Linked DNA regions of Rhinolophus ferrumequinum. The protein of the gene in region 1 interacts with the protein of each later gene in a pairwise test. Links are inferred from orthologs where the notes say so. Each region holds a gene or a part of one and is shown in the gene's direction. Other genes may lie near its edges. The genes, in order: GOLGA2, RNF135, TSSK3 and HDAC4.

Region 1 (7,743 bases):
CACAAGGTTGCTGGTTCAATTCCTCGAGTCCCGCAAGGGATGGTGGGCTGCGCCCCCTGCAACTAACAACGGCAACTGGACCTGGAGCTGAGCTGCGCCCTGCATAACTAAGATTGAAAGGACAACAACTTGAAGCTGAACGGCTCCCTCCACAACTAAGACTGAAAGGACAACAACTCGACTTGGAAAAAAGTCCTGGAAGTACACACTGTTCCCCAATAAAGTCCTGTCCTGCAGCAGCTGGACCCACAGCCCCTGCCTTGAACACCATCCCAAATGGTCACCGGCCACAGTGTCCACCAATCCAAGCCAGGTGATGCATCTGCGGCCACCTACACAAGTCCTTACCTCCCAGGTGGGCTGTCTGAGCCAGCGCAGACACACAGGTATCTGTGCCTTGGCTAAGCCCTCAGGTCAGTGAGACTGTGTTCAAGGAAGAATAAAATACCCCTTTAAGTCACACAGAGTCGCCCTTGCACTTTTTGCCTCTACAGCAAGTCAGCCACTTGAGGCCAGGATGGTGTCTTAATCAGTGTGAGTAGGCCCCAGAAGACTGGGAACCCTAGTCTTCAGTGCAGCAGGTGGGCGAGCCCATGCTCAAATCTGCCTGCAGCTCCAAAGCAGATTCTACAGTGGAGGGGAAAATCCCCAGGGAGCTGTACAGCTGCTTCGCTAGGTGACCGGAGGGCAGGGGCACTCAGAGAATGGAGCAGCTGTGAAGGGTGGGAGGGTTGGCACGTGAGAAGGCCCAGGAGCAGAATGCAACCACCCCTGGGGGGGGATGGGGATTCCTTCCAAGCCCTGATGCTCCCCTGGAGTCCCGCGTCTCACCGAGTTTGCCCAGCAGCATCTGGCCTACGTCCTTGATGTCGTTGTACTCGTGCAGCTGGGAGATGTGGTCGTCCAGTTCATCCACACTGTAGCCTCTGGGTCAAAGGGTGGAGAGAGAGAATCGTTAAGAAAGCTGATGAGGACGCAAGGTTCAGAGAGTAATGAGGCATCTACTTAACAAATGGTCACTAAGGGCCTACTAGGTGCACTACACTGGGGACATAGAGATGGCAACACAGACACTGCCCACTGAAGATTACAGCAGGGCAGGGGTCAGCCCCTGGTACATGCTCCCTGTGCCCTTAGGGAGGAGTCCCAACCACACTGCTACTGTGACCCTGGCCACAGGTGGGCACACCAGTGGCTAATCAGATCCCCTCAAGTGAAATGCACATTCAAAAGCTGCTTAGTCTGTGCCATGTGGCTGGAGCAAGGGGTGTGAGAACACGCAGGAGTTGTGCAAGAACCAGCACCTCCCAGGCACTGAAAACCCCACCTGCAGAGACAGAATGGAGTCCGGGTGCAGACAGGTGCAGAGCCGAGAATGTGGGCCCTGGAGAGAGACTGGGAGAGCGATAACCTCCATTCCTGCCAGCTTTCCAGTCCTAGCTCTTGGTCCACCCAGCCTGACCACACCCGACCCCAGAGAGGCTGCTGAGACACCATGAACCCAACGGTATGGTTCTGTTTTTATGCTGAGCTAGTATGACTGCGTTGCAATTACTGGGCTCGAGTTAAAAGTTATCTGAACGATGCTGAGGAACCCAGTGAGACTCACTCAGATATTAACTGGGAGAGCTCCTTGTCCAGCACGTCCCTCTTCTCCTTCAGTTTCTGAATGTCAAGGTGCACAGAATCCTCGTTGGCCCCAGCAGCCTGGCCAGACTTGGGAGACGGCCGCTGAGTGGCACAAAAAGTCATTAGCCAGACGGAGCCATTGTCCCCCATTCACAACCTACACGTTTTCCTCAATATTACCACGTCTGCTTGGTAATAGACACCTCCCCACGCCCGAATAAGACCACATTTCCCAGCTTCCCTTGGAATTAGATGTGGCCCTAAACCTAAGTTCTGGCAAATGGAACTTAATCAGAAATGGTGTATGCAACGGGACACTGGAGCTGCGCAGTGTCTTGGATGATGAGATAGACGCCACGTTGAAGATGAGGTGCAACAAGACAGAGCCCTGGGTCCCTGATGACTGTTAAAGCCATTATTATTTGGGGTTTTCATTCACTCCCAGCCAAACCCAATTCTAACTAAAGGACCATATCTGACTCCAGAGAATCCACGTCAGGTCTACTTGGATTCTTCTCTCAAGTCTATGATGTTGCTGGGTTTATTTCATTGGATAACAAAATCTTTCTCTGGGACTACAATTCATCTTTGCCCTTTCTGCCTCTCAAAGCTGCGAAGGCGAGTGCCTGGTATGCTGCTACTGTTCAGGAAACGTGTGTTGGATCAACTGTATGAACGCTACCAGAACAGACGGAGGAAGACGTGGTTCCAATCTTCCAGCCAGTCAACAAAGACTACCAGGAGCTGACAAAGGCTCCAGGGATTCACCAATGGAGAAGACAGCAAGCCTGGCCCCTGCCTTCATGGAACCGATAGCATAGTCCCAAATATAAAACACCAAACAACTATGCTCTTCTTGCAGAGATCTCCATTTAAAGTTCTACTCACAGGTCACACTTCATCAGAAAGGCCTTCTCTGACCACCCCATTTAAATGGGTACTTCTCAAAGACTCACTATCCCTTTGTCCTGATGTTTTATGACATCTGTCACCACCGGACATGTTATGCCTTTCAGTGAAAATATTTTCCTTTTCCCTCCTTTCTTCTGCCACCCCACCCCACCCCACCCCACCCCACCCCCGTTCAAGCCGTTGTTTCTCAGTCTAGTTGTGTAGTCCATGCTGGTATTGAGTCTTGCGCTCCCCCAGGCTGAGGCAGTTGGTCACAGGTCAGCCACTCACAGAAGCTCACACACCCTCCGGCTGCTCACGGGCAGCCCAGCTCCAGGGAGAGTTGTTGTTCACAATCTTAGCTGTAGAGGGCGCAGCTCACTGGCCCATGTGGGGATTGAACCGGACGCCTTGGGCTTTAGGAACACGGCACTTCTACAGCCTGAGCCACCGGGCCAGCCGGGAAATATTATTTTCATTGTCGGCCTTACACCACTGGAGTGTAAGGTCCATGAGGGCAGGGACTTTGTTAGACTCACTGCTGATTGCACTGTGTCTACAGTAGTACCCGGCACATAGTAGGCATTCAATTTATCTAATGAATGCATGAATTACAAATAACTAATCAACTAACTACAAGTCTTTGAAGTTGAGTGCTTTGAAGTTGAAGTGCAGTGTGCTACAGGCGTGTCTAACAGGGTCGCTGGACTGAGCTAGAAGTGGGGGTGAGGCTTCTCTGAGAAGCTCAATTCTACAGGATGAGTAGACATCAGCTTGGCAAAAAGCTGGAAAAGTATTCCAGACAGAGGACAGACGGTACATCCAAACGCCCTAAGACAGGAGAGAGCACATATGTTGGAGGGAATGAGAAGGGTTTACCTGTGGGTGGGATGGGTGAGGGAGGGCATGGTGGTGTCAAAAAGAACCAACCCCTTGTGGTGCTGTCAGGAAGGAGAGACAGAGCCCACTTGGAGAGCCTGGGGTGCCATTGACAAAGACAGGGCACTGCTTCTTCTTTGAAGCTTGGTGGGCACGAGGAAAAGAAGGGGAAGGGCTGAGAAATAACCCAGAGTTTCTTCGGATAAGGGGAAACCTTGGAGAGGGCTGGGGGTGGGTCAGCTGCTGTGGGGATGGAGAGGACGGCTAGGAGCAGCAGTACTTACACGGTGGAGGGTAAGGGGGGCGCAGGCATACTCACAGGGGATCGGAAGGCCCCGCCGCAACTTTTGGAAAGTCCTGGTTGAGTCCTGGAGAGGAATCCGAGGGAAAAAATGGCTGATTGGACCTAGAATTCGCTCCGGGAAGAGGGGGTACTGTGGGGGTGTTGGAGGAGTTGGGAAGTAGGAGCTACCGGCACTGGATCCAGTCGGGAAGGGGGCAGATACGCTCCCGGGATCAGGGTGGAGATCCTCGAGGAAGGAGAGATTCTGATAGGATGGAGTGTGTAGACTGGGTCGGGGTCTCGAGGTGATCTCTGGGATGAGAAAGTCTGGGGCAGACTTATGGGAGTCAGGTCAGGGATTGTGAAGGGATGAGTTTTCCCCCTGCAGCCCGCTCCTAGCCCACCTCCTGAGCCCTGGGGTCCGGGGCCCCCGTTTCGAGGGGGTTTGCTGTGCAGAAGGGTCCAGGGCGAGGGACGGAGCGCGGCCTCTCAGGTCCGCGGGTTAATCAGAATCCTGCGATGGAGCCCAAGAACCGTCACACAGCGAGCTGCGCGCGCACCCTGAGAAATAAGGCCCCGCCCCTCCCCGAGGTGGGCGGAGACAGGGGCCGCACGCACATCTTTTGTCGTGACGTCTTTCTCATAGACCAATAGTATTAGAGAATTGAGGCCCCGCCCACACCGCTGCGGCCTAGTTACCCCGGTCCCTCCTTTTGTGGCTCCGTCTCGCACTTGCGCCGTAGCGACCGGAAGCACACTCCGCAGTGGATGTCGGGTTGTGGCTCAAATTGTCCCGCCTCCTCCGCCCCCGTCCCGGGATGTCGGAAGAAACCCGACAGAAGAAATTGGCCGCGGCCAAGAAAAAGGTAAAACGTGCCGGGTCGCGGCTCCCTGACCCAGCCCAAGGCCCCTCCGACGGCTGGGCCGTGGCCAGAGTATGTGCCGCCTCGGAGGCACACGGGGCAAGCCCCTCGGAGCCTGTTGGCTCCCCACCAAAATCTTCTCACCAGTCCCACCCCCCCACTCCCCGGCAGCCCAGCCCCCGCCCTCGCTTGTCGCTCCCGGGTGACTTTGGGCCGGTAACCCCCGGGACTCCCGGCTCGGCCCTTGTCTCCTGCCGCCAAGAACCGGACCTTCTGGGCTCTCTGGGCTCCGTGGGCTCCCTGGACTCCCAGTTGCTAAGGACCTCGGTCCGGGCCCTGCGCTCCCTTCCCCCTCCGCGGAGCGGCGACTGGGGCATCCATAGGGAAGAGTGGAATGTAGTTACGTCACAATCACCCTCGGAACCGTCTTTACAGCCGCGAGCCAGGTGTTCGATCTAAAGACCCAGCCTCCTAGTGTTTTCGCTCTCTCCGTTTTCTTTGGTCGCGGCACAAATTTCCACCTTGAAGGGGACTCGGCACTATGGGACCTAGATCGGAGAGGTTTCAGGCTTCCTGTAGACTGTACCCCATGCTTAGACACTGATAGCGTAAAAAGCCTACATTTCACTAGTGATCTCAAAACGTTGACCACATCTCTGGGTGGCAATGGGGAGAATGTGTTTAGTTTGGTTTTCTCCCGTTTCCAGTCCCCAGAGAGTGTTCCTAATTTTTAATCTGAATTCTCTACCTCACGTTCTAATCATGCCCTATGATCCTGAGACCAGATTCGCCCTCAATCAGTGTTCTTTGGTGTGAGCTCTGCTTGTCCTCTGTGGAGCAGATCCCGAGAAACTGCTCTTCACAGCTGGGAATCATCCCCAAATCATCATCTCAACATGGGGGGCTCTGAGTGCCACAGGATAAATATGGGACTGAAGCATCCGTTTTGCTGGAGGCTCTTGAGAGAGAAAAAGCCTTTTTATATTAGTGCATTTAGGGATTACATTTACATAGATTTGTAAGATTATAATAGACGTCTCTCAAAATGGTGCTTGAGTTGTCTTTGCTACAATCGCAGATTCACTAGGGGTGTGTCTTCACTGCCTTCTACCATTGGGCTCCATTGATGTCAAAGTTTGAGAAGTACTGCTGTGCATCTCAATAGATGTATAAGAAGGGACCCTCATGCCTGATCACTTCAATGTTTACTTTTCCACCTCTGCCTCTGATTTTGCCCCCTGGCAGCTGCTGCTTTATGGCATAACCCCTGGACCTCAGCGTCAGAAGACTGAATTTAAATTCCATTATTGCCTTTTTTTTTTTTAAAGGCTATGTGATCAGTCCCTTTCTTCAGCCATGAAGTGAGAATTACAACACCTTGTAGAGTTGTTGTGGCATCGCATCAAATGGCGCATATGAGTATTTTGTAAACTGTAAAGTAGGATGTGAATACAGGGCTTTATAGTTCTCGTGAGTCTTACTGCGTTTCCTCTCTGCAGTTGAGAGAATTTCAGAAGAAAAACAACCTTGGTGTTCCTTCAGGAGCAAAGAAGAAAAAGAAAAGTAAAAATGGCAGTGAGACAACCACTTCTGATGGTTGTCACTCGCCTGAGGAGGTGAGTCTTGGCTGGCCAGGCTACTGGGGATGGAAGACTAGAACTTAGTGGTTAGATTGTGGAAGAAGTGTCAGGTACTGGTTAAGAAGTCTGGATTTGAATCTTATTTCTCCCTCTGCTAGGGATATGATTTGGGGAAATTCTTTAAGCTCTTTGGGTCTGTTTCCACATCAGTAAAATCCGGGTACTACTTACTTACCCTCATGGAGTTTAAATGAGACTGTTGTTTCTATCTGAATCCCTTAAATACAGAGCCTGGTGTAGAGTAAACATTCAGGAAAGGGGAGTTGCTATTGGACTTACTGCTCTGGTGGTTTTCCTCATCCCCAGCCTCAAGGGGAGGCCACTTACTATCAGGCTCTCCCTTTAGGAAGCACCAGAGGAGCCCCCGGGTGTGGTGAGGAGAGCCCTAGGCACTGGATTAGGAGTTTCGAGCTCATCTCAGCCACAGCTTGCTGGGTAACCTCAGGAAAAGGACTTCCTCCCCTGGGCCTCAGTTTCCTCATCTGTAAGATGATATTGTTGGATCAGATAATGTCTTCCAAACTTATGTTTTAGCTGTAATCCCCTTTGGTTCAGCAAACCTTTACTTGGAAATCGAGGTTTTAAAATGGAGATGAGGGTCTGGAGCCCTGCCAGGTTCGCCTCTAGCAGCCTGGGCCTGAGGAGAGGGGCTAATGGGCATATTCAGAGCTGCACTGGTCAGGTGACTCCACTCTTTGTGAGTGCATCGTTCAGGGGACTTTTCCATCTGTTCCTTGGCGTTGATTTCTGCCTCTGGCAAGGCAGCAAGCGGCTGTTTGGAACGATGGCACAGGCCGTGGTGTTGACCTTCTTCTCTCTCCTCTAGCATTCTCTTTCCCGGAACCCATCTCTTCTCCCTTCCCTGGCCCTCTTGCCTCTCTCTAAGACACTTTTCTCTGTCTCTCCCTGCCCTTGTTTTTCCCTTTCCGCCTCCTGTAGATTCAGGACATTCTGAAGGTGCTGGTGTCCGACCTTAACCGCTCCAATGGGGTTGCGCTGCCCCCATTGGACAAGTGGAAGGTGAGGCATGCCGAGATCCCCTCTCTGGCTTGCTCTCTGTCAGCTCTGCACGCCCCCAAGGCTTCTCTGGTTTGGGGGATACTTTGCTTCTGGCTTCTTTTGTGTTGCTGTCATTAACCCTCGGCCTGTTCATGTCTGCTTTTTCACCTGCTTGATTGACTGGGGTTTTTTTTTTTTCCCTCCCCCCATATCTTTCAGCATCTTGGAAAAGTTGAGATGTACCTTGAAGTTTTTTTTTTGTTTTTTTTATTAAAGTTTATTGGGGTGACAATTATTAGTAAAGTTACATAGATTTCAGGTGTACAATTCTGTATTACATCATCTATAAATCACATGGTATGTTCACCACCCAGAGTCAGTTCTCTTTCCATCACCATATATTTGTACCTTGAAGTTTAAAAGTAGTTTGGGAATAGTTTCCAGAGCAGGTATGTGGGATTTGCGCTTTTTGAGCCTCAAGTGTGAATGTCCAGTGGTGCTCTCAGACTAGGAGAGATTAAATAAAACTAAACCTTCAGGTCTTGTCCTGTGGGCATCT
Region 2 (8,420 bases), on another chromosome or scaffold:
AGAGAAGAGACACAAGAATAGCAATAAAGTCCCAATGAAATGGTTTTGGTTGGTTTCTGAGGCCTGGCTGGAAGTGTCTTTGGGTTCCCTGAGGATGACTCTGTACTCTTACATTAAATCCTAGTCTCCCTTTTGACTTATTGGTACAAGGAAGTTTCTGTTACTGGAATCTGCCTGCCTAAGAAAGCTCTCAAAAAGAGGTGCTATCTATGCTGAATCCTGAAGAATGAATAGAAGACACTTGGGTTGGGGTGGGGGAAGGCAGAGAAAGAAGTGTACAAAGGCCTAGAGACATGAGAGAACATGGCCTGTTCTGGAAACTTCAAATAATTGAATATGACTAGAGCACAAGTTGTTGGAAGAGGAGAAAGAACAGATTAGACTGGAGGAGGGTCTACTTCAATAGTGGTGGAATAGCTCAGATCAGAACAACCATTCCACAGATAATTAGAAACTCTGTACAGACTATGACAAAACAATTATCTGAAGGCTCTGGAAAACGACCTAAAGCAGGCAGAGACTAGAGAGAAGTTGGTACTGGAAAGCAAGAACTAGCATGGGTTTCTCATTTTTTAGCTTTTCACCCCAGGGGGCCACTAAAACTTTGATGGAAGCCTGCGTACATCCTAATTGAAAAGTAGAGGACAGAATTTAGGGTGACTATAGCAGCTGGCAAATGAGAGAGGGAAGTCTGGGAGGCCACAGAGGAGGAGCCCAGAATTCTACATATCATCTGCCTACTCTCTGGAGGAACATAAAAGAATCTGGAGTTTGACAATGTATTATGAAGAATATCAGGATTATAGCCCTAAATTAGTAGACATATGAAGAAGCAAGAAAATGTAAATTATACTGAAGAGAAAAATCAATGGAGACTGAATCCAAGATGTCCCATATATTGGAATCAGCAGGCAAGAAGTTTAAAGCAGCTATTGCAACTATGCTCAATAAGTAAAAGAAAATATCATAATGAATAAACAGATATGAAATTTCAACAAATAGAAATTATGACAAAGAACCAAATGAAACTCTAGGACTGAAAAAATACAGTATGTGAAAAAAAAAAAAAACTCAGCCCAACAGTAAATTGGAGATGATTGGGTATCAGTGACTTGAAGACAGTAATAGAGCAATGGAAATTATCCAATTTAAAAAACAGGGAAAAAAGGGAATGAAGAAGTGAAAAAGTCTCAGTGACCTGTAGGACAATATCAAAAGCTCTAATTTACATGTAATTGGTCTCAGAAAGAGAAGAGAGAACTATTGAGGCAGAAAAAAATATTTGAAGATATATTGATTGAACTGTTTCCAAGTTTGGTGAAAGACGTGTAGAGACTCAAGAAGCTCAGTAAACTCCAAGTAGGATATATACAGAGAAAACCACATCCACATTCATTGTTGTCAATCTGCTGAAACAAAGATAAAGATAAAATCTTGTACAAACTGTCAGTTATAAAAACAGTCACAGGGATGTAAAGAACAGCATAGGGAATACAGTCAACAATATTGTAATAACTATGGTATTAGATAGGTACTAGACTTATTAGGATGATCATTTCATAAATTATTAAATATCTAATCACTATATTGCACACCTGAAACTAATATTGTATGTCAATGTAATTGGAAAAATTTAAAAATATTTTTAAAAGAATAAACAATTCCAATTGGAGAAAAAAGAAATATCTTGAAAGCAGCCAGAAGAAAATGATATACAAGGTATGGCAATTAAGTTCGTGAATTCATCCTAGAAAAAGTGCTACATACCTCATTGCTGAGTATCACTATGGTCAACTTCGAAGTACTTCCCTTGGGAAGCTATGCACCAACGCCAGCACCTAGTCCACCCTTCAAAGCAATTTTTTAAAAAATTATTTTTAAAATTATTTTTTTAATTGGGGAATATTTGGGAACAGTGTTTTTCCAGGATCCATCAACTCTATGTCAAGTTGTTGTTTTCAATTTAGTTGTGGAGGGTGCAGCTCACTGGCCCATGTGGAAATCAAACCGGCGATGGTGTTAGGAGCACTGCACTCTAACCACTGAGCCCAGCGATTCAGTTGCAAGCTCAAGCAGTTGTTTCTCACTGGTCCATGTGAGAATCGAACCAGCGACCCTGGTGTTATGAGCACTGTACTCTAACCATGGAGTGAACCAGCCACCCCTCAAAGCAATTTTGGAACTCTTTCTGGAATGGCCATCACAGCTGTCATCATACTACCCTTGATGTCCTGAATATCATCAAAATGTCTTACTTTCAATATTTCCTTTATCTTTGGGTAAAGAAAGAAGTCTTTGGGGACCAGATCAGGTGAGTGCGGAGGGTGTTCCAATACAGTTATTTGTTTACTGGCTAAAAACTCCCTGCCAGACAGTGCCATGTGAGCTGGTACGTTGTCGTGATGCAAGAACCATGAATTGTTGGCAAAAAGTTCAGGTTGTTTTCATCTAACTTTTTCACGCAGCCTTTTCAGCACTTCCAAATAGAAAACTTGGTTAACTATTTGTCCAGTTGGTACAAATTCATAATAATTTGTGAATAATAATTTGTGAAAAATAATTTGTGAATTATGATTTCTGATATCAAAAAAGTTTACAACATCATTGCAACAAGTTCGCTAACATAATTGTCAGACCTCGTATGCATATTTTTGTGGCCGAGAATTATTACAAAGTGATAAAAGTGATTAGAAACTGATAAAAGGCTTTCATGCACATATATTACTATAGAATATAGTTCTGTGGATAAATTGGAATGGAAATACAAGTTCAAGAAGATGAAAGAATGATACAATTTCCGATGTAAATGAAAAACTTGTTCAAGTATTATTTTTTTAAACTTTTATTTATTTGTGTTTTTCCACAAGCCATCAGCTCCAAGTCAAATAGTTGTTTCATTCTAGTTGTGGAGGGCACAGCTCACACTGGCCCATGTGGGGACTGAACCGGCAACCTTAGTGTTAAGAGCACCGTGCTCTAACCAACTGAACCAACCAGCAGCCCTAGTTCAAGTATTTTTACAGCTAGGGTTGAATACTTCCACCCTTTCTCCTTTTCTTGTAATCACTGCATGTTTTTGCCTAAAACTTTTAGGAGGTGCCCAAGAAAAATGTCTGAAGACCACTGGTTAATCCACCCTCTCAAAATACTTGGGTGTGTAATGGAGAAGAAAAGGAGAGGTACCTAAAGGGAGGCTTTTATCAAAGGAGACTGCATTCTTTAAGATGGGAAATTTGAGCTCGTGTGTTGGGTTATTCCTATTTTTCAGAAAAGAGAGGATCAGAGAAGCTATGAGTTTACGCCAGATGAGGAGACTCCGCAACAAAATCCAGGTAATACAGTTGACCCTTGAACAACACAGGTTTGAACTGTGGGCATCTACTTATACATGTACGATCCTGGGACTCCACAGATGCAGAGGCTGGCTGTATGCATTGATCTACAATAGGGCACTTGAGCACTTGAGTGGATTTTTGTAGTAGAGGGGGTCCTGGAACCAGTTCCCCCACCCGTGGATACTGAGAGACAACTAAGTGTTGGGGGAGTCAAAAGTTACATGTGGATTTTTTGACTGTGCAGAGGCTGGCACCCCTAACCCCTGAGTTGTTCAAGGATCAACTGTACCTCAGTCAGGATAGGCTATATTATGCTGCAGCAGCAAGCACCCACTATATCTCAGTGACCTGAACATATCTCGTGTATTTCTCTCCTTTACTACACATCAGTGTGGGTTGGCAGGTGATCTGCTCATCTTAGCCACTCAACTACTCAGGCCCCCAGATGATGGCTTCATCTCTGTAGTCAGGGCAGATGGCAGAGATACAATGACTAAGTTTTTTTAAGCTGGTAGGAAGTTAACAAGTGTTACTTCTGTGTGTTTCCAGTGGCTCAGAGAAGTGCCAATCCTACCAGGTGCCTAGAAAGGGAAACTTCGATGAGCAGCGCGAATAGGTAAATTCTATTGACTACTACCTGTCATTTCCAGTATTGCAAATTGCCACACGTTTGTATTATCTGGTACCTACTTTGAGACTGGATAAGACCGGGGCAAAATAAAATATAAGACATTGTTAGTTCATTTCAAAAGATCAGAGATGGGTTCTGGTCTCTGCCACTCAGTTATTGCTCTGTAAGTCTGGAAGTTCCTTTGCCTCTTTGGATCTTTGGGGAGGACTTGTGCTCTTCCAGTTGCAACGTTTTCTGGATGTAATGAGCTTAGGACCGGAGTAAGAGCGAAGGAAGAAAGCAAGCCCAACCAGGACCAGATGTGCTAGCTACAAAAAACCCCCACTGTCTAGTATTTTCGTCCCGAAGCCTGTTGTGTTAACGTGCTTTCAGCCAGCAGACAGCAGTACTGCTTTCAGCCAGCAGAGAGCAGTAAGGAGATACCACATTATAATAGCGATTTTAAAAGTCTAGAGTTACTCAGTTTTGCGCGTTCGAATCACCTGGGGGAGGTTTTTCAAAAATCCTGAGTCCGCGATGCACCGCAGACAAAGAAATCAGACTCTGGCAGCGGAGACCGAACATTGGTATTTTAAAAGAGTTTCCCAGCTTTGTGCGCTGGGTATTCTTGAATCCCTACTGCTTGTTAGAGGGGCTGGATGATACTTAGTCGGCACATCCTCTTTTTTTTTTTTTTGGACTTGGCTACCAGGCACTCCTGGCTCTGCCATTTATTACGGTCCCTTGTGAGGTTGAAATGGGGTCAAGATTGAAATACAGATTGACAAAGATTATATGTCCAGTCAGCTTTAGATGATTTTCATAAAGTATTTTGAATACAAGCCCCTTCTTTTTTGGATCAAGATAAAGGGCTGAAAAAAGAATACCTGACCAGTAAGATGGAACCAGAAAATTCAATATTTTTTTTTCCTTTTTTAAATTCCTTCTTTTTTTTTTTTATTTATTGGGGTGACAATTGTTAGTAAAATTACATAGATTTCAGGTGAGTCGGCACATCCTCTTGAAAGAGTTCTGGAATCGAATTCTCTGTTGTTTCTTCTCCCAAGAGCTGTCAGGGTTGCATTTTAATGGGGGGACATCAAGCTAGAGAAAATCTTCGGGCATCAGCGGGCTTCCTAAGGCTTGGGGCGAGCTGATTTCCCAGCGCAGGAGGCGGTGGTGAGGACTCGCTCTAGCCAGAGGGCGCTGCAGGCTGGGCGGTGGAGACTCTCGGCTTTCAGCGGGACCCGAGAAAGGAAAAAAGCTTGGATCGCTACGAGTAGAGGAAGAGGCAGCAAAGGAGGAGGGGAGAGGAAGAGCAAGGGAGGAGCAAGGGAGGAGCCGGAGGAGACGTAGCGCGGGCGGGCGGTCCCCACTGTGGCCCTGCTTCCGGACGGCGGCCTGGTCACAATGGCGGGTCTGGACATCGGACTCACGGTGCCGGTGTGGCTGGCCGAGGACGACCTGGGCTGCATCATCTGTCAGGGCCTGCTCGCCTGGCCCGTTACGCTGCCCTGCGGCCACAGCTTCTGTCGGGACTGCTTGAAGGACCTGTGGGGCGCAGGGCGCCACTGGTCCTGCCCCACTTGCCGCGAGGGCTCCGAGCAGCAGCTGGAGCTGCGGAAGAACACGCTGCTGCAGGACCTGGCGGACAAGTACAGCCGGGCGGTGGGCGAGCTGGAGGGCGGCCCGGGCCCGACCCGGAGCCCCGGCCCCTCCCCGCGACCCGCGCGCCGCACCGGGCTGCAGAAGGTAGGGTAGGCGGGTCCGGGTTCCCGTCTCTCCGTTACCACTATCTGCCCACGCTTCCTGCACCGCTTTCCCCCATGGATCTTCCTCCCTCCCTCATCCTTCCTACTTTCACATTACTTTTCTCCATCTAAAAGTAGAACCCGCTCTTTGGAAAGTTCAGAAGAGTATGAAGAAGCAGAAAAAAGTCCAAATCTCCTGAAATCCTTTCAATTTAGCTGCTATACACCTTGGCATATTTCCATTTCTTTGCAGTCTTTCTGCTGTCTGTGTCTCTGGCAATTTTTTTTCTGTTTTGTTACTTCGTTTGTTCTGTTCTTTAGATTCCACATATAAGTGAGACCGTATGGTATTTGTCTTTCTTCGTCTGACTTATTTCACTTTGCATAATATCCTTGCACAAGGTAAAATTTCATTCTTTTTTTTAAGGCAGAGTAATACTCCATTGTATATATGGACCACTGTTTCTTTATCCAGTAATCTTTTGATGAGCATTTTGGTTGTCTGGATTTTTTAATTGTGGTAAAATACATATAACAAAACTTGCCATGTTAACCATTAAGTGTACAATTTAATGCCTTTATTATATCCACAATGTTGTGCAGCCATCATTACTGTCTATTTCCAAAACTTCATCACCACAAACAGAAACTACCCACTAAGCAGTAACTTCTCATTCTCCCTCCTTGCAGCCCTCCCTGCCTCTAATCTTTCTGTCTCTCTGAATTTGTCTACTCTAGATGTTTCATGTAAGTGCAATTTGTGTCTGGCTTCTTTCACTTACCATAATGTTTTCAAGGTTCATCCATGTTGTACCATGCATTGGAACATCATTCCTTTTTGTGGCTGAATAATATTCCCTTGCATGTATATACCACTTTTTTTTTAATCCATTCATACATCAGTGGACATTTGGATTGTTTCCGCCTTTTGATGATTGTGCGTATTATTGCAGTGAACGTTGGTGTACAAGTATCTGAGTCCCTATTCTCAGTTCTTCTGGGTGAATACCTAGGACTGAATTTGCTGGGCCGTTAGTGTAATTATACGTTTAACCTGAGAAACAGCCAAACTATATTCCACAGCAACTACATCATTTTACATTCCCATCAACAAAGTTAGACGGTTCCAGTTTTCCCTGGCTTTTTCTTGTGGGACTTAGGTGGTTTATTGTGTCTTTCAACTAGAATCTTTTGTCCCAAACATCCGCTATGGTAGTTTAGTTCAGCTTGCAGCGTTTGCCTGAGTTAGGTGAAACAAAGATGAGCACACTGTGCCATTCCTTCAGGCAGCCCCTAGCCAGGTTTGAACAGACATACAGGACAATTTCTGAAAAAGGTCTGCTCTGCACCTTCCAGAACCAGGACAAGGGTTCCAGGATTCGTGAATACTGAGGGAGTGGGGATGGCCAAATAAAAACACCACGAAACTTTCCTAATGCCAGGTTGCTCTTTTTTGATTCAGTGTTTTCCAGAGTTCTGGCAAAGTTGGTTCTGATTGTTTCTGCTTGTTTTTCAGTGTTTCTGTGTGTGTGTGGCGGAGGTGGGGGGGTGAGGGGGGTGGGGTGCGGGGATGAGAGCTTAGAGTAGCCCACTACACCCGATTGCTAGTCTCTGCAGTCCTTTTAAATAGAGTTGAGGTCATGTTGTATAGGCAGGTTATGTCCTCTTATTTATTTATTTATTTTAAGTAACTATGGTTTTTGTGATTAGTTTCTTAATCTTTTAAACCTCAGTTACTTTTTTAAAAATTTTTAAGTGTGTTTTTCCAGGACCCATCAGCTCCAAGTCAAGTAGTTGTCTTCAATCTAGCTGTGGAGGGCACAGCTCACAGTGGCCCACGTGGGGATCGAACCAACAACCTTGTTGTTAAGAACACCGCGCTCTAACCTACTGAGCTAATCGGCCGCCCCGTCCTCTTTTTTTAAAAAAACTTAACTAACAGATTTTATTTCTTAGAGCAGCCCTAGATTTACAGAAAATTGAAGAGGTGCTCCAGAAAGTCCTCACACACCCCTCACGTTCCCCATATTATTAATGTCTTGTATTAGTGTGGTGCATTTGTTACAATTGATGAACCAATATTAATACATTATTATTTACTAAAATCCTAGTTTTCATTTACGTAGGTAGGGTTAACTCTTTGTGTTGTATGGTTCTATGGCTTTGACAAATGCATGAGGTTATGTATCTACAATTATGGTATCATACAGTTTTAGTGCCCTGAAAATCCTGTGCTTCTCTTGTTTGTACCCCTCACTCCAAACCCTGGCAACCACTGATCTTTTTGCTGTCTCTTTAGTGTTGTCTTTGCCAGAATGTCATATGCTCATAGTTGGAATCATAGAGTATCAGGCCTTTTCAGACTGGCTTCTTTCACTAAGCAAAATTAAGATTTGTGGCTCGATAGCTCATTTCTTTGTATTGCTGAATAATATTTCATCGCATAGAGTGGACCTTATACCTGAGACAGATGCCTTCCCCTGCACCACTCACTGCCAAATCTCCAGGCTGTCACCCTATTTCTTCACCTTTTGATGGACATGCTGGTTGCTTCTATTTTTTTTTTTTTCAATTATGAGTAAAGCTTGTTCTCTTAGATTATAAATGCAGCATTATCCTTCAGGTCCTTAAAATTCTTTATTAATGTAGTTTATAGTGACCGACTATATGTCCCATTGGCTTTTACATTAAAATGATGGTCTTTGGCTGGTGGGATATTGGATG
Region 3 (7,144 bases), on another chromosome or scaffold:
TGACGTCAACTGTTGCCATGGTGATACAGCAACCCTTTCCCTGCCATCTCCATGGTAACCTGGGGGTCCATCTGTACTTCGCCCCCTCCTTCTAAAAGGGGGTCTGTTAGGGAGGGGCTGGCTACTAAGGTGTCTGAGAGAGAAGTCAAGGAAGGCAGTGATTCAAGCGTCCCCCTTTCCTGGGGCCCCTCCCGATTCCTCAGACCTAGAGAATAAGACTGGGATCTGTGGGTCTGGGGACAGCTTTACCCTCTAGGGTACAGGAGGCAGCTCTGCTTTTACCCCTGGGGATTCGCCTGTAAATGCCCCCCATCAAGTTCCTAGGCTCCTGAGCAGAACTGCTGGGAAGCTGGCAGAGGGAAGCAAGAGGGATTCCCCAACCCTCTCCAAGGCTGGGCATCACCCAGACCCTGGGGACGTGACTGGCTGGCTCTCTGCTGCCCCTGGAAGCCAAAGGTAGGAGCAGCAGCAGCAGCAGCCACAGCAGCTTCTCTTGCTCATCAAGTGCTGCTGGCTGTGCCAGAGATTCCTACCTGGTGCTGTACTCACACAACTGCTTAAACCTTCTACCAGGTGTCATTAATCTCATTTTACAGATTTGGAAATGGAGACTCAGAGAGGCTAAGTAACTAGCCCAAGTTTGCACAGCTAGTAAATGGCAATCAGGACTCAAACCCAGGATGAGAATTTAGGCCAGCAACTTTTCCAGGGGGAAAGATGAAGCAGCAACAGAGAATGGAATGGAAAAGAAGATGAGAAATATAGGGACGTGACCCAGGTTGGAGCCTGTCATGCTCCCTGTCACCTACAGAACGAAGTTCAAGCTCAAGGCCTTCTTGATCTAGCTTCTCTTCTGTGAACTCATCCTGGATCCCCTAAATTTTGAGCTCTGCAAGGGCAAGGGATTTGTCAGATTCAGACCTGGCCTCTCAGCACCCAGTGGGGCCCAGGTAGGTATAGGTGAAAGTTGTTTGAATGAATTCCTTAAACTTTCCCTCCACTTTCCTGCCTCCAGGCCTTTACCCACAGTGTTCCTTCCACCTGGAATGCCCTTTCTCCTGCTCATGGACATTCTAGAGCTAACTAGAATGTCCATTGGCAAGATGTGTGTCCGGAATCTGTGCATCACTCACTACCCAAGCACATAGAAGGTGGCAGTAAATCTTTTTTAAAGGAAAGGAGGATTGAGAAGATGGGACAAGGGAAGTGAGGGAGACGAAAGGAAGAATGGGAAGGATTCAGCAGTTTGGGGGCAGGCAAGGTCCAGAGAGATCAGCTGGTGCCTTTTTTTTTTTTAACCAGTGAGGAAATGGTCCCTGAGGGAAGGGACTTGTCTGAGTGAGACCTCCCAGTAGGTCATTGCTAGGCCATGTGAGTTCTATGAGAGCCAAGGCCCATGGAGGTCAAGTTCTCCACTGAATCCCCAGTGCCTGGTGGACCTGTATTGTCTGAGTCAGGGACAAAGCCTGAACTAGAACCCAGAAGCCCGACACCTGGTCACACTGTCCAAGGCTCCTCATTGCCATGGAACAGAGTTGTCACCCTGGCCCCTGCCACTCTCTACCCCTTCTTTTCCGGTTTCTTTTTCTCTCAGGCATATCCAGTCTTCCAACCTTTGCATAAGCTCTCTCTTCTCCTGAAGTATTTTTTTCCCCATCTTTACCCATTCTTTTCTGGTGATACTGTCAATCACCTGGCTGTGTTTGCACCTCAAGGGAAGGTTTATCTATAGCCCAGCCTGGCCGTTTATAGTCTCCCATCTCCCTAACAATGGTAATTGGCCCAAGGAGTGCACATGTGATTTAAGAAGGGCCAAACACTGCCCTTCCAGGGGTAGCTATATGGAGACTGGGATTCTTGGGATTTCTAAGCTGGTGCAGCTATGTTCTCTGCCCAGGAGACAATCAGGGATGAGAGAGGAACAACGGGGCGTCCTGGTGGGGTTGAATACTTGGTTCCAACCCCATAGATGCCCTGGTTCCTACAGTTCTTCCTTTAATCACTAGCGTATATCCTTCCCAGCCACTTGAAACAATCAATCCCTTTTTTGCTGAAGCTAACTTCAGCTGCTTGCAATGGAGAGACCCTATCAACACAGAGCCTGATAATTTGTTTCTCTCTAAAATGATGATGGTCTCCTAAACAGCGCGTACTGTTTACAGGGAAGTAGGGGAGGCCCTTTTTCTGCAGAGCACCCCCATGGGTTGTTAGGCTGAGTAGAGACTGCGTGGAGTTTTGTGGGGATGGAAGAAACTGGATTATTCCACTTAATAGAAGTATTGAGAGTCCCTGAGATGTTCTCCAGGAGGTAAGTGTGAGGGAGGAGAGAGAAGCCAGCACTAGGGCCTGAAGCCAGAGGTTATTCTCGTGAAGGGGAAACGTAGGCATGGAGGGGCTTTCAAGAGCCAGGACGTTTAAAGGACCAGGGGTTGAATGGTCAAGTCTAAAGTCTTCACTTAGGAGTATATGCTTTTCAGCAAATACCCTCTCCTTCCGTAAGTCTCCTACATTTGGCACTGCCTGGGAGAGCATTTTGTGCAGAAGCCAAGAAGTCACCTTTTTGGTAACCATGGGATTCTGAAGCGCTCCAGGGACAGCTTGGGCTTCTACCCCATGTGGATTAGGAGAGGGGTATTGAGTCAATTGTACTTAGATGTCAGGGGACAGGAGACTGAACCTGATCTTTAGGTTACGTATATTTTTTCCAATATTAAAATAATACAGGTTCATTAAAACAAACTTGGAAAGTGGGAAATACCCATTCAGCTTAAATATTACACTTCCAGGCAACTTTATGTCATGGCCCCTCCTATGGATGGATGGCTTTTAGGGCATTAAGTCTGAAGACACAGGAGTGTGCTAGGGGGACCCCAGGCAAGTCTCTCAAGGCTCAGTTCTCTCACCTGTAAAATAGGAATAAGAAATCAAAGTTTTTCAAACAACTTCTTCCCCAATTTTTTTCTGGTGCCACCAGTCCTAGGAGAAACCAAGGCGCAAAATGGACGGGGCAGCCCCTAAACTCTTTCAACAAAACCAGAGGTGCCCAGGATCACAAAACAGCAGGTAGCAAAACCTAATTCCGTCTTGGGAGAATTAAATGAGCGCGGTGTGGATAGTCATTCTCTTTATTCTAAGTTGTCTGCCGCCCTCCCCCAATCCCGAGCTTCTCTGGGCCTCCAGAGTTCAGCAGAGTGATGTGATTTCCTTGGAGAACTAAGGCGAGGGATGGGGGAGAATGACGTAGGCAGGGCCCGAGGGAGCTGTACAGGAAGGGGTCCTAACTAGCAAAAAAATGGGGGGAGGCGTTAGCGCCCAGACAGAAGAAAGCGGACCAGGAAAGGGGGGCTCCTGGGGCTGGATCCAAGGGAGGAGGCAGCCGAAGGGAAGGTGCTCAGGGATGGGGAGGAGCAGGCGGCAGGCCCGATACAAAGGAACAGAGACACACAGCCAGCCTGTAGTGGAAAGAACAGTTTATGCTGTGCTTTATTAAAATGTGCATCATTCTTTTATTTTAAAATGTGCATCATTGTCTCGTGCTCGGCGCGCGCGACCTCAGCGTGGTGGCCCGCAGCGGGCCACGTCCCCGCCCGGCTCCCGCGGAGACGCCGTGCGCAGCCTCACTTAGGTGGCGCGGGCCCCCGGGCTCCCGCCCATAGCCAGGTAGACGTCGATGGGCACGTGCAGCAGCGTCAGGCAGTGGCAGCCGGGGCAGCGTCGAAGCGGCCTGGGGAAAGTGACGCGGCAGGGGACCCTGAGGCGGGGGCCGGCCCATCCTGTTGGGGACGCATCCAGGGAGTGCACTTGGGGGTACCCGAGGTTCGGTAATGGATGTGGGGCCCTTACGTGGGGGGGTGGGGGGGCAGTGTGGGGATGAAAAGTGGGCCGGGGACAGGGACGGCCGGGAGCACTCCGGGACGCAGGACGAGCCGCGGGGGAGGGCGCCTGCTCACCTGACCGGGTTGTGCTCTGTAGCTACCGGCTCTGGGTTGTCCTGGGATTCGGGGGCGGCGGCAAGGCTAGGGGAGTCTCCGGCCTCAATGGGAAATCTTCGAACCTGCGGGGGCTCCTGGGCACTCATGTCCAGGACCCCGGATGCTCTGCGTGGCGAGGAGCGGTCAGGCCACTCCCGGGCCTCCAGGCGTCCCCTCCACGCACCCGCCCCGTGGGTCGTTGCTCACCTGCCGGAGGCCGAGGCCGGTCCCAGGCTGGAAGCAGCTGCCTGAGCCCTGGCCGCGAGAGGACGCTCCGGTCCAGGAGGAGCCGGGCAGGTGTCTGCGGCGGGTGCGGTCCCGGGCGTCGAGGGGGAGGGCTGCATTGTGACCCGGACCTCGGCTCGCTGACCTCACAGAACCCGTTCCTCCAGCCGGGAACCCTCCGCTGCCCCAGCACTTAGTGCGGCCGCGAGCCGGGAGCCGGAGGACTCTCGCCATAGCGCCTTAAGCCTGGATGGCGCAGATCCCCAACGGCCCGATGGGGGCGCAGGCAGAAACGACAGTCAGTTGCGAGGCGGCATCCACGAAAAGGAGCCTGGCATCCTGGGCAGCGCGGACACCCCGGAGTGCCCCACCCTCACCCCAGGAGGGGCTGCGACTCACTGCCTGGCGTGGTGGCGGGAGCGCGGCAGTGACTTAACCGGTGCTGTTTGGTGTTGGTGCTGGTGAGGGCAGGTAGGGGTACTACCCATTTTGGCCAAGGGTCACACATTTACATCACAATTGGGCCGGAGTTTTAAAATGTCCGGCCCTGTCCCTCCCCACCACCTGCGGCTGCTCTGTCCAGACGGAGAATGTTCTAACGCTGGAGGCCGCTGCGGATGAAGTCCTTGGGGGAAAAAGGACCGGGCCAAGGGCGATGGTGGAGTAGAGCTGCCTCAGAGAGGCAGCATGAGCTGAGAGGGTGATAGGAAGAAAGGAGGCGCTAGACAGCATGGAGGACTTTCTGCTCTCCAATGGATACCAGCTGGGCAAGACCATTGGGGAAGGGACCTACTCAAAAGTCAAAGAAGCATTTTCCAAAAAACACCAAAGAAAGGTGGCAATTAAAATTATAGACAAGATGGGAGGGCCAGAAGGTGAGCTGGGGCCCCTTTGGAGAAGGGAGGGCTGGCTGAGGTGGGCGGGTGCTTCCTCCAGTCAGAAGGACCATTCTCTCCTCCCCTTTTAGTCTGTGACCAAGCGAAGCAAGAGATTGTGGCTCTGGGGTAGGTCAGTGGGGAACAGAGGGATGCTGGGAGTCCAGGAACATCATGCCCTCCAAAATCCAAGGTTAAAGTGGTAGGGTGAAGGGTCGTCGGAGGCAGAACCTGAGCCTGCCAGGGGAATAGAGATTGGCAGAAAGACCATGGCCAGGGCTGCCAGAGGGCAGGAGCTGCTATAGAGGTAGGTAGAAATGGGAAACAAGACTGGGCTCATGGAAGGAACTGTGGGTCATGAGGCAGGGGTGAGAGCTGGCTCACATGCTGTGGGCAGCCTCATAACAGATTCAGTGGCTTGGTCTGAAAGTCCCACCAAGATTTGGATATCCATGATCTCACGGGCTGCTCACAAGAGTCCCTGAGGTTGGCAGGGAGTAGTTCCTTTGAATATTAACTACAAAAGTAATAGAACCAGACATGGTGTGTGGGCAGGCAGGTAGGCAGGCAGATGTTGGAAGGCAGGAGACAGGAGGGAAGAGTTAGGCCCCTCTGGACTTGATGCCCCATCTCTTTCTCCCTCGTTTCCTCAGAGTTTATCCAGAGATTCCTGCCTCGGGAACTCCAGATTGTCCGGACTCTGGACCACAAGAATATCATCCAGGTGTATGAGATGCTGGAGTCTGCAGACGGGAAAATCTACCTGGTGATGGAGCTGGCTGAGGGAGGGGATGTGTTTGACTGCGTGCTGAATGGGGGGCCAATGCCTGAGAGCCAGGCCAAGGCCCTCTTCCGTCAGATGGTCGAGGCCATCCGCTACTGCCACGACTGTGGCGTAGCCCATCGGGATCTCAAGTGTGAGAATGCCTTGTTGCAGGGCTTTAACCTGAAGCTGACTGACTTTGGCTTTGCCAAGGTGTTGCCCAAGTCACGCCGGGAGCTGAGCCAGACCTTCTGCGGCAGCACAGCCTACGCTGCCCCCGAGGTGCTGCAGGGTATTCCCCATGACAGCAAGAAGGGTGACGTCTGGAGCCTGGGCGTCGTCCTCTACGTCATGCTCTGTGCCAGCCTACCTTTTGACGACACAGACATCCCCAAGATGCTGTGGCAGCAGCAGAAGGGGGTGTCCTTCCCCACTCATCTGGGCATCTCGGCTGAATGCCAGGACCTGCTTAAGCAGCTCCTAGAACCAGACATGATCCTCAGGCCTTCAATCGAAGAAGTTAGTTGGCATCCATGGCTAGCAAGCACTTCATAAAAGCAATGGCAAGTCCTCCCCAATAAAGCAGGGGGAGAAAGCAAACCCAAAAACCTGCTTCTAAACTGGTGATATATATTTTACACTTTTAAGTTTACTTATCCTAAAACTTACTTACACCCTCCCCAGCCTTACTTCTCCTTCCCTTAAAGATCTTCATGGAACCAGAGGGTCTCATTCAGACTTCCCTTTTATTACGACTGACAAGTGATTTTCATGCAAGTGTTTAAAGTTAATTAAAAATAGACCCCAGAAATATACACATACAGGGGGAGGAGAGGAGAACAATGACCCAGAGCAAGCGCAGCCACTGTTGCTGCAACTTCCTTTCCAAATAAAAGCAGAAGCGTTGGGAATGCAGAACCAGCCTCTTGACTCGTCTTGGTCACAGGCCTGTTGGGGGCCCTGTCCCTTCCTCATCCCAAAGGCCAAACTGAGTCTGGGATGAGGACAGGAAGTTCCTCAGGACCAGGCTAGCCCCCAGCCCTCCCCCTTCCCCAGGCTCCAAGCTGGAAGCCACTCCACACATGGTGAGCCCTGCGTTGGCTCCAAGGCAGCTGCCGTGGGGGACAAGAACAGACCCCCAGACAGCTTCCAGCTTTTGGTGAATCTCTTTAATGCTGTTAACGGCAAGTCTGGAAAAGGTTCAGGACAAAGTTCTTTTTTCTTTCTTTTTTAATTACAAAACTAACAGCTGTTGGAATCTTTTTTTTTCCTTTTTTCTTTTCCCGGCTACAAAATACTCTGGGGAGATG
Region 4 (7,565 bases), on another chromosome or scaffold:
TTCCAGCCTCATAGATTCTTTAGGCTGGTTCCTGAATTTCAAAGTGGCAGAATCACAAAGTATATACACTCTTCTGTGTTTGACTCCTTTGATGTTTTGACTGTCATGCACCTGTGTCAGTGTTCATTCTTTTTTTTTGTTGAGTAATATTCCCTTGTATGAATATGCCACAGTTGGAATTTATCTATTTCCTTGCTAATTGTACCCCAAATTTAAATTGTAACATAGTCATTTATCGATTATTTCCAGTTGTTGGTGGTCTTCTTTCTGAGTATCAGCTGGAGTTCTTCCATTTGTTTGGGATTGTTTCTTTACTTCCTAGTATTTTCCATGATCTCAGTCAGTCACATGGTGTTTTCCTTATGGAGCCTAGATAATAGGTTTGTTTTCTGGGAGCACAGTTTCTCCCTCATTACTCTCTTTTTTCATTATTCTCAAATGTTTATTCTTCTAGCTGAACTATTCCACTATTTTGTCAATTCCCACGAAGTTCCATTGGGATTTAGCAGTACAGTTAGGAATTTAAAATGTTCTTTTGCTACTGTGATTGGGAATTTTCCATCATGTTCTTCTAATGCACATACAGTGCTTAGCACAATGCCAGCCACATAGCAGATGCTCAGTAAACAGCATTTATAATTATTGATTGAATGTTGTTAGTATATCTGAAAGTTATTGGGGTTTTTGTATATTTTTTAATTGGCTACCTTGCTAAACTTCTAAATCTAGATTTTTTTTTTTTTTGAGTCTTTGGGGCTTTTTCTGATCAAAGGATTTGTTTCTCTCTGTTAACCCTGGATTCATTTTATTTTGGAAACATAACACTTCCTGTGAAGGATGAAAGACGCCGTCCTATGAAGCCTGAGGTGGGTGTTACCAGTGTTAGGGCTCACTGCACCTCCCCCGCATTCCCAGCCCCCGTGTTGGAGACCTTCCTTTTACTGGGCAGAATTCTATGGCATTGAGCTCTCGTTATTGTCTGTGAACTGGTCGCCTTCAGCCAGACAGCCCCTCAGGGACCTAAAGACAGACACAGCCGTCCAGGCTCCCAGGTTTCTCTTCCAGAAAAGGTGAGTTCTGTCCACAGGCCCAGCATTTACCATGTGCTTCATGTTCCTCGAGGACCTCTGGGGACTCCAGAGAGGCCTACTGGCACACAGCATTGGGCCACTTCATGCCTCGGGATGAAATTTACTTTTTAATTCATCCTGCCTGGGATTATACCCCAGCACTGTTTCATGTAGCTTTCTCTTCAGGCATGCATCTCTCATTTTGCACTTGTAAAATTACTCTTACATGCATTTTCTCCTGATTATTGCATACTTTCAATAATCTGTGAAATAACGTATCTTAATTTTTATCATCTAAATGTTACTCAGCCACGGGTCCTTTTCACCATATGCAAACTTTTGGTAAATATACTGCTTCCATTGGTGGGAAAAAAAATTCCTAGTGGTAATTTTCAATTTTCTTTAGCTGTATCTTTTAACGTTCTGCAGTTCACCATTCGTTTGCTTCAAAGTTAAGCTATCTTAGGGTAGGCATTTCTACTTAGAATGACCAAGGTTCTTCAGTCATTACCTACTTCAAGATACTTAAAATATTATCAAATTGTGCATTTTCACTTTGAAAATTGTTGTTTTTATCTACCTAGCGACATTTTTTTCTTCCAAGTTTCACTGATCAAGGACGATATTAAAACTAATCTCTGCTCACTTCTAAAAGGAACAGGCCAACAAAATAAGCATTCACACATCTGAGCCAGGCCTCTAGGATCACTCTAAGATTGACAATTGAACTGACCTGCTTTCTGATTTTCTTTTAAGTTCTAGAGGGGTAAAAGAAAAACAACAAAAACCCCCCAATACCCCTAAATTCCTCATTATGAAACAAATAACAAAACACCACAAAGGTGTGATTTTGATTAAAACAGAAATGCTTCTTCTTTTCTGTCCTGAAAAAGCATCTGGCCATAAAACTTGGAAAAGCTAAAGTTGAGGTTAATGAGTGATGAAGGTGTATCGATTAGTGTCTTTTTTTCTTGCAGGACAGTGAGAACTGAGGGTGTCACCGGTGGGCTGTTCAGGCCTTTCCTTTCCCTTCTTTAATCCAGTAGGTAATTTCAGATAACCTAGTCACCTCTGGTAATTTCTCCATTGATTGTTCTTTTCTCATGACCAAGTTCTCAAGATAGCTGATATTCCTTTCCATCTGACCTGCCTGTGTATCTTTTTGTGTAGTTTAGTGTAAGCGGGTCCTTGGTTGGTGTTACCAGGGCCTGACCAGTAGGGACCTTTTGGTACTTGAGGGAAAAAACATCCCTTGAATGCAGTTTTTAAATGATCTACCAAATTCTGCTTTCTAGGAAAAAAGTTGCTTTGGTTGCGCATCAACACATTTAACCAAATTTGAGCGTTAAGATCTCAAGTTTTTTGAGCAGTGGTCACCATTTTTGGTTGTGAAACATCCTGCGAGATTTCCAAGTATCCTGCGAGATATAAGGTTTTATGGAAGCAAAGGAATTATGCAACCCTTTTAATTTAAAATATAGACTCCATGCAGCACTTTTATTCACGTTGTTATAAACAAAACAATTATAAAATCCTGCAATTCGAATACAACGTTTGAAGTCTTTTATTCTATCAAGACTCCCCTCTCCACGGACTCCTGCTATTACCACGTAGGTCTGAACACTGACTGACGAGGGGTCTGACAGCACAGCTAACTGTCTGCAGCGCACCGGAGAATCACAAACTCCGGAACCCCCATGCACTGGCACAGGCTGTCAACGTGGTTTTTCTCGGGGAACACACGGGATTCCTAAAAACACTAGGTGCACCGAGGCTGAGAAGCTGCATCGCACTCTTGTGGAAATGAAACGACCGGGGGGTGGGCGTCGGAGGCCACGCCCACGCCCGCGCCCGCGGGTGGACAGATCACGGTGCCTCCAAGAGCCCAAGGTGTCACCCAGCAGCCTTAAAATGCTGAGCACTGGGGCAAAAGGACCGGTCGTGACCCCCCCGAGCAACTCAGATGCCGCGGCGACTACCGGGCAAGACCCTCGTCTCCACCACCCCGAGCCTGGACTCGCGATCGCAGTGCCCATCCGGAGGGCACCTCGCGCGCAGGTCCCCTCCTGCCGGCGCAGGCGCGGTCGGTCCGCTCCTCGGCCGCCGGGAAGGCCCACCCGCCTGCACCCAGCACTCCGCAGGCCGCGTTCCCGCCGCGGGGCAGGGCGGGGCCCGACGCGCCTGCGCACTATCCCTTCGCACCGCCCCTGCGAATCTGGGCGCACTCAGCAACACATGACCGCTGCCAGTATCCAAAATGGAGGCCACAGCCAGGCCAGGCAGGTTCCCCTCCTCGGTCTCAGCCCCGGCGTGCGCCTGCTACGCGCGCAAGCAAGCGCTGCTGACCGCTGGGCCGGTGCGGGCCAGGTCTTAGGGACCGCCGAGCGGGGATGGCCAGGGCCAGGGTCCGTGTTTACAGTCACTACTCGCCCCAGCTCCCTGCGCTTTCTCAACCGCGAAGCGCCCAGCGGCTGGCGCCTGGAGCGTCCTTTGGTCGCCCCGCCCCCTGTGATTGGCAGCTTTGGCAGCCAATGAGGTCCAGGACGTATGCGGGAAGGCGGGCAGAGGTGGAGCATCTCTGCCGTTCGTAGAGCGTCTGGCCTGGCGGTTGGCGGCCGTGGGACGAGGGGCGGGAGCAGACTGGGCTGTACCCCGGATCGCAGCGGACCAATGGAAGGACGGCCGGGAGCCCAGGGAGGGCGGGCGGAGGGCGGGGCCGAGCCGTAATTGACGAGCTCTTCATTAGAAACCGGGCAGGAAGGAGGGGCCCGCATGGGGAGGTGATGCAAGGCTGTCGCAGCCAATGGCTGCAGAGTTGCCGGCGGGGGGGCGGGGCCGTGGCGACTGACGGGCGTCGGGGTTGGCCTATGAGCGCCCAGCTCGGTGCTGGCGGGGGGAGCAGCATCATGGTTCAACGTGGGTCAATTTTTTGTGAATGAGGAGGGGAGGTTGTGGGGCCGCCGCCGCGGAGCACGGTCCTCGCCGCCGCCCGCGCCGGAACCTGCGCGCCCGCCCGTCGCCCGCCCGCCCGCGCCGCCGCCTCAGCCGCCTGGGCCCGGCGCGCCGCGGCCGCGTCCCTGCTGTCGCCGCCGCCCGAGCGCCCGCCCGCCCGCCCGCCGGCGGTGGTGGTGGCGGCGCAGGCTGAGGAGATGCGGCTCGGAGCGCCCGCCGCCGCTTCCCCGCCCGCCGCCGCGGTAAGCGCAGCCCGGCCCGGCCCGCGGGCCATTGTCCGCCGCCCGCCCGCAGGCCGCCGGCCTCCACGCCCCCCGCCCGCCGCCCAGCCCGACAGGTGGACGCCGGGTCCGCGCCCCCGGCCCAGCCCGGCCCCGGCCCGTGCGCCCAGGCCGCGCGCGGCGCCCAGCCCGTGGGGTTGCGGAGCGCGAGCCGCAGCCTGCCCTGGACCTTCCCTGCAGCCCCGAAACAAAACGACGGCCCGCCGCCCAGGCCGGTGGGGGCCCAGCGCGGCCGGCTCGCCTCCGGGGGGGCGCGAGGCGCCTCCGCCCGCCCGTCCAGGCCGAGCTCTCGGCAGGTGGGCCGGGGGCTCCCCGAGCCCGGCGGGCGCCGTTTATGTAACTTTGTCAGGGCTGTGAGTTTGCAGAAAAACATCCCTCCCGGGGCTCGCGGCTGGGGTGCCGGGCCCGTGACGGGGGTGGGGGCGCTGCCCAGGACCCCCACTGGGTTGCCCGCAGGCTTTCCACAGGCCGAGATGTGGCCCGGTCCTGCCGGAGGCTGTGGGGCGCGTTTCCCGGCGTTGCAAACACACACCGTGGAATTATAAAGCAAATTATCTCGTATTTACATTTAACGCTGAATTATTTGACACTGTTATAGCAGGAGACCGTGCGTACCAGTTGGAAAGGCCGGGGGTGGAACCCACTGTACTCATTTAATGCACATCAAAAATTTGCAATAACTTGCAGCAGCTGATAGGAGTGTTTTCTTTATTGCATGTTGTAAATTGACCTGCTGTGACACGGTTTTCAAATAAAGCGTTGCAGAAATTAAACTTAAGTTATTTTAAAACTAATGACTTTCTTAACTAAATCCTGATTGCATTGCTGTAGAGACCTACCTAATTGCTTGCTGAGAGCAGCTCCGCCCGCCCTCCCTGACGGAGGAAAGGGCCTGGGTACTCACTTTGCTTCCTCTCCTCTCCCCACGCAGGCTTTTCTCTGTTTATTCCCACCGACCACCTCATCGTGGAAGGCCTGGGAGTAAACATGTAAACAGCCGTCACCCAGCGGCCAGCCCAGCAGGGTCGGGGTGATACTGATGGGTTTGCACCTTGGCCTGGTTTCACTTTTTCTTTTGTAATACGATCGTGGTTGCCCGGAGTTTTAATTGCTTCTGATAATTCTGTGCATGATGTTAGAGACCGTGCTGTGAAAGCTGGTTTGGTGTTTTCACAGTCCAGCCAGGAAAGGTGGTGCTGACTGGGGAGAGGGAGAGCCGTTGAATTAAGAAAACTCAGCTGCTTGTACACAAATATACACTACACTACAGCAATTACAAAGCAACAAAAGTTATTGCAGAATTTTGCAGTAACTATGGCAACACAATTACTCTATTATAATTGGAAATGCAAAATGCTACCCTGTTAGAAGTTTCATCAGAATGGAGTTTGGGATATTGAAAATACGTGAGATTTAATTCTTTTTTTTCTTTCAGGTAGCTCCTGAGAATTCTAAAATCTGTGTTCAGTTATCTATTTTTAAGACTGATAAAGCTTTCCCAGATTTTCTACTCACTTGGATCTGTGGCATCTTTCCCCAGAACTCACATTTGTGTGGGAGGGAAGTATTTTCCTGCCTTAAAAACACACACCCTGACACATTGTGAGACTTCTTCAGCTTTCTGTGTTCTGGGCTTTTATTTTAAAGACCAGATACCTTCCTAAAGAGAGCAGTAATCAATCAGAAAAGAAGCAGGGTTTTTGCGGCAGGCAGATGTAACAACACTGTCCTCTTAGGGTTCTTCTGCAAGAGTTGCTGGCCGCAGGGTGCCCCTGGGGTGTGTGTAGGGATGTGTGTAGGGGGTGGATGACTGCAGGCTCCTTGTCGGCCTCGAAGGCCTGGGGACCAAGGACAGATGTGGCCTAAGCAGCCCTGAGCCAGAGAGAATGTTCTGTGGTCAGCAGCTTTACAGCTGTGCAAAAGGAAAACCTCCTTGGGGGCTGTTACTGTAGCAAGATCGACAGAACATGGCACCCTGGCCAGGTGCAGCTGGAGTAGCAGATCTCGACTTCTGGTGGTCAGAACCTGCTTTACTAGGATACCCCTCTTGATGTTTACCAGGAGGACTAGTTCTGGAAGTTTCCACACATTGTGGGGTTGCTGCAGTTTAATTTCGTTATAAGTCTTTCCTTTTAACTCCTGCATATTTATGCCCAGTAATCGACTTCCATTTTCCAGCTTCATTGTGAGGTTTCAATGCAGCATGAATGGCTTTGAATTCTCATCCTTTGATGTTGGGGGTAGCACCAGAGGAAAGGGGACTTGGTGCCGTCTTAATTGCCGGAGCAGAAGAAACATTTCATCACTCCTGCAGAATTTGTCCCTACCATTCTCTATTGAAAACGGCTGGGCTCTCATCACTCCCAAGCTGCCAGGAGTCATAGGTTAATACCTGCTGTGGGGAGTGGGAGAGACACAGGGAGGAACGGGCCCCAGGCTGGGCCAGGCGTTTGGTCCCTGGGCCAGAATGGATGACGGCAGCTGGAGAGACCAGGGGCCCAGCCTACATGGAAGCCTGGGCCGTTGAACCGCGCCCTGCAGCCTGTGAACCTGCCCTTCTCGCCAGAGGGCAAGTCCCTGGCCCTGGGGTGGGGGCAGGGATGGAGTTTGGAGGGGGTTTCTGTTTCAATGGCAGATGGTCAGCATGTGCTGGGGAGTGCACTGGGCTTGGTGCCTTTGGCCTTGACCTTAGAGAGGAAGGTACGGCACCTTCTGGTTCAAGTCCAGTGAGGGCCTGTGTCAGAGTATAGCTGCGTTCTAGCACACCTGTCACGGGTGTGCACAGAGCATTCTAGCACACCTGTCATGGGTGTGCCTGGAGCGTTCTAACACACCCGTCACAGGTGTGCACAGAGCATTCTAGCACCTCCGTCACAGGCATGCACAGAGGATAATAGCACACCTGCCACGGGCGTGCACAGAGTGTTCTAGCACACCTGTCACGGGCATGCACAGCATTCTATCACACCTGTCATGGGTGTGCACAGAGCATTCTAGCACACCTTTCACAGGCGTGCACAGAGTGTAATAGCACACCTGTCACGGGCGTGCGCAGAGCGATTCTTTTGGGGAAAAAGGGCACTGAAGCAAGGTCTGTGAGTTCTTTTCATAAGGTCATGTTGTCTTGGGCTTATGTGGGTGAGGAGAAGGGGTGGCTGGGGCCCGTTTGGGGGTGCACGATGGGCTGTAGCCTCTAGCCACTCGAGGCCCCTCTGCAGCCTGTCTTTACTGACACTCCTCCTCCTCACTTCCTGCAAGGAAG

What was found.
Region 2: the proteins of GOLGA2 (region 1) and RNF135 interact in binary tests that used the Homo sapiens proteins (3 or more experiments, as listed by UniProt). The two-hybrid records come from large-scale screens. The link is inferred for Rhinolophus ferrumequinum from reciprocal best matches to the Homo sapiens genes GOLGA2 and RNF135.
Region 3: the proteins of GOLGA2 (region 1) and TSSK3 interact in binary tests that used the Homo sapiens proteins (3 or more experiments, as listed by UniProt). The two-hybrid records come from large-scale screens. The link is inferred for Rhinolophus ferrumequinum from reciprocal best matches to the Homo sapiens genes GOLGA2 and TSSK3.
Region 4: the proteins of GOLGA2 (region 1) and HDAC4 interact in binary tests that used the Homo sapiens proteins (3 or more experiments, as listed by UniProt). The two-hybrid records come from large-scale screens. The link is inferred for Rhinolophus ferrumequinum from reciprocal best matches to the Homo sapiens genes GOLGA2 and HDAC4.

Annotation. Positions count from the first base shown.
Region 1 is NC_046295.1:77,183,827-77,191,569, reverse strand, and holds the start of GOLGA2 (golgin subfamily A member 2), read left to right. Parts: upstream 1-4,403; 5' UTR 4,404-4,500; coding exon 4,501-4,548; intron 4,549-6,044; coding exon 6,045-6,161; intron 6,162-7,124; coding exon 7,125-7,205; intron 7,206-7,743. UniProt on the Homo sapiens protein: Peripheral membrane component of the cis-Golgi stack that acts as a membrane skeleton that maintains the structure of the Golgi apparatus, and as a vesicle thether that facilitates vesicle fusion to the Golgi membrane.
Region 2 is NC_046304.1:20,582,921-20,591,340, forward strand, and holds the start of RNF135 (E3 ubiquitin-protein ligase RNF135), read left to right. Parts: upstream 1-5,283; 5' UTR 5,284-5,355; coding exon 5,356-5,697; intron 5,698-8,420.
Region 3 is NC_046292.1:22,209,318-22,216,461, forward strand, and holds TSSK3 (testis-specific serine/threonine-protein kinase 3), read left to right. Parts: upstream 1-4,660; 5' UTR 4,661-4,926; coding exon 4,927-5,071; intron 5,072-5,724; coding exon 5,725-6,389; 3' UTR 6,390-6,442; downstream 6,443-7,144. Other genes in the region: protein FAM229A, read right to left, coding at 3,622-3,724, 3,951-4,097, 4,179-4,315. UniProt on the Homo sapiens protein: Serine/threonine protein kinase required for spermatid development and male fertility.
Region 4 is NC_046291.1:1,453,361-1,460,925, forward strand, and holds the start of HDAC4 (histone deacetylase 4), read left to right. Parts: upstream 1-4,174; 5' UTR 4,175-4,264; intron 4,265-7,565. UniProt on the Homo sapiens protein: Responsible for the deacetylation of lysine residues on the N-terminal part of the core histones (H2A, H2B, H3 and H4).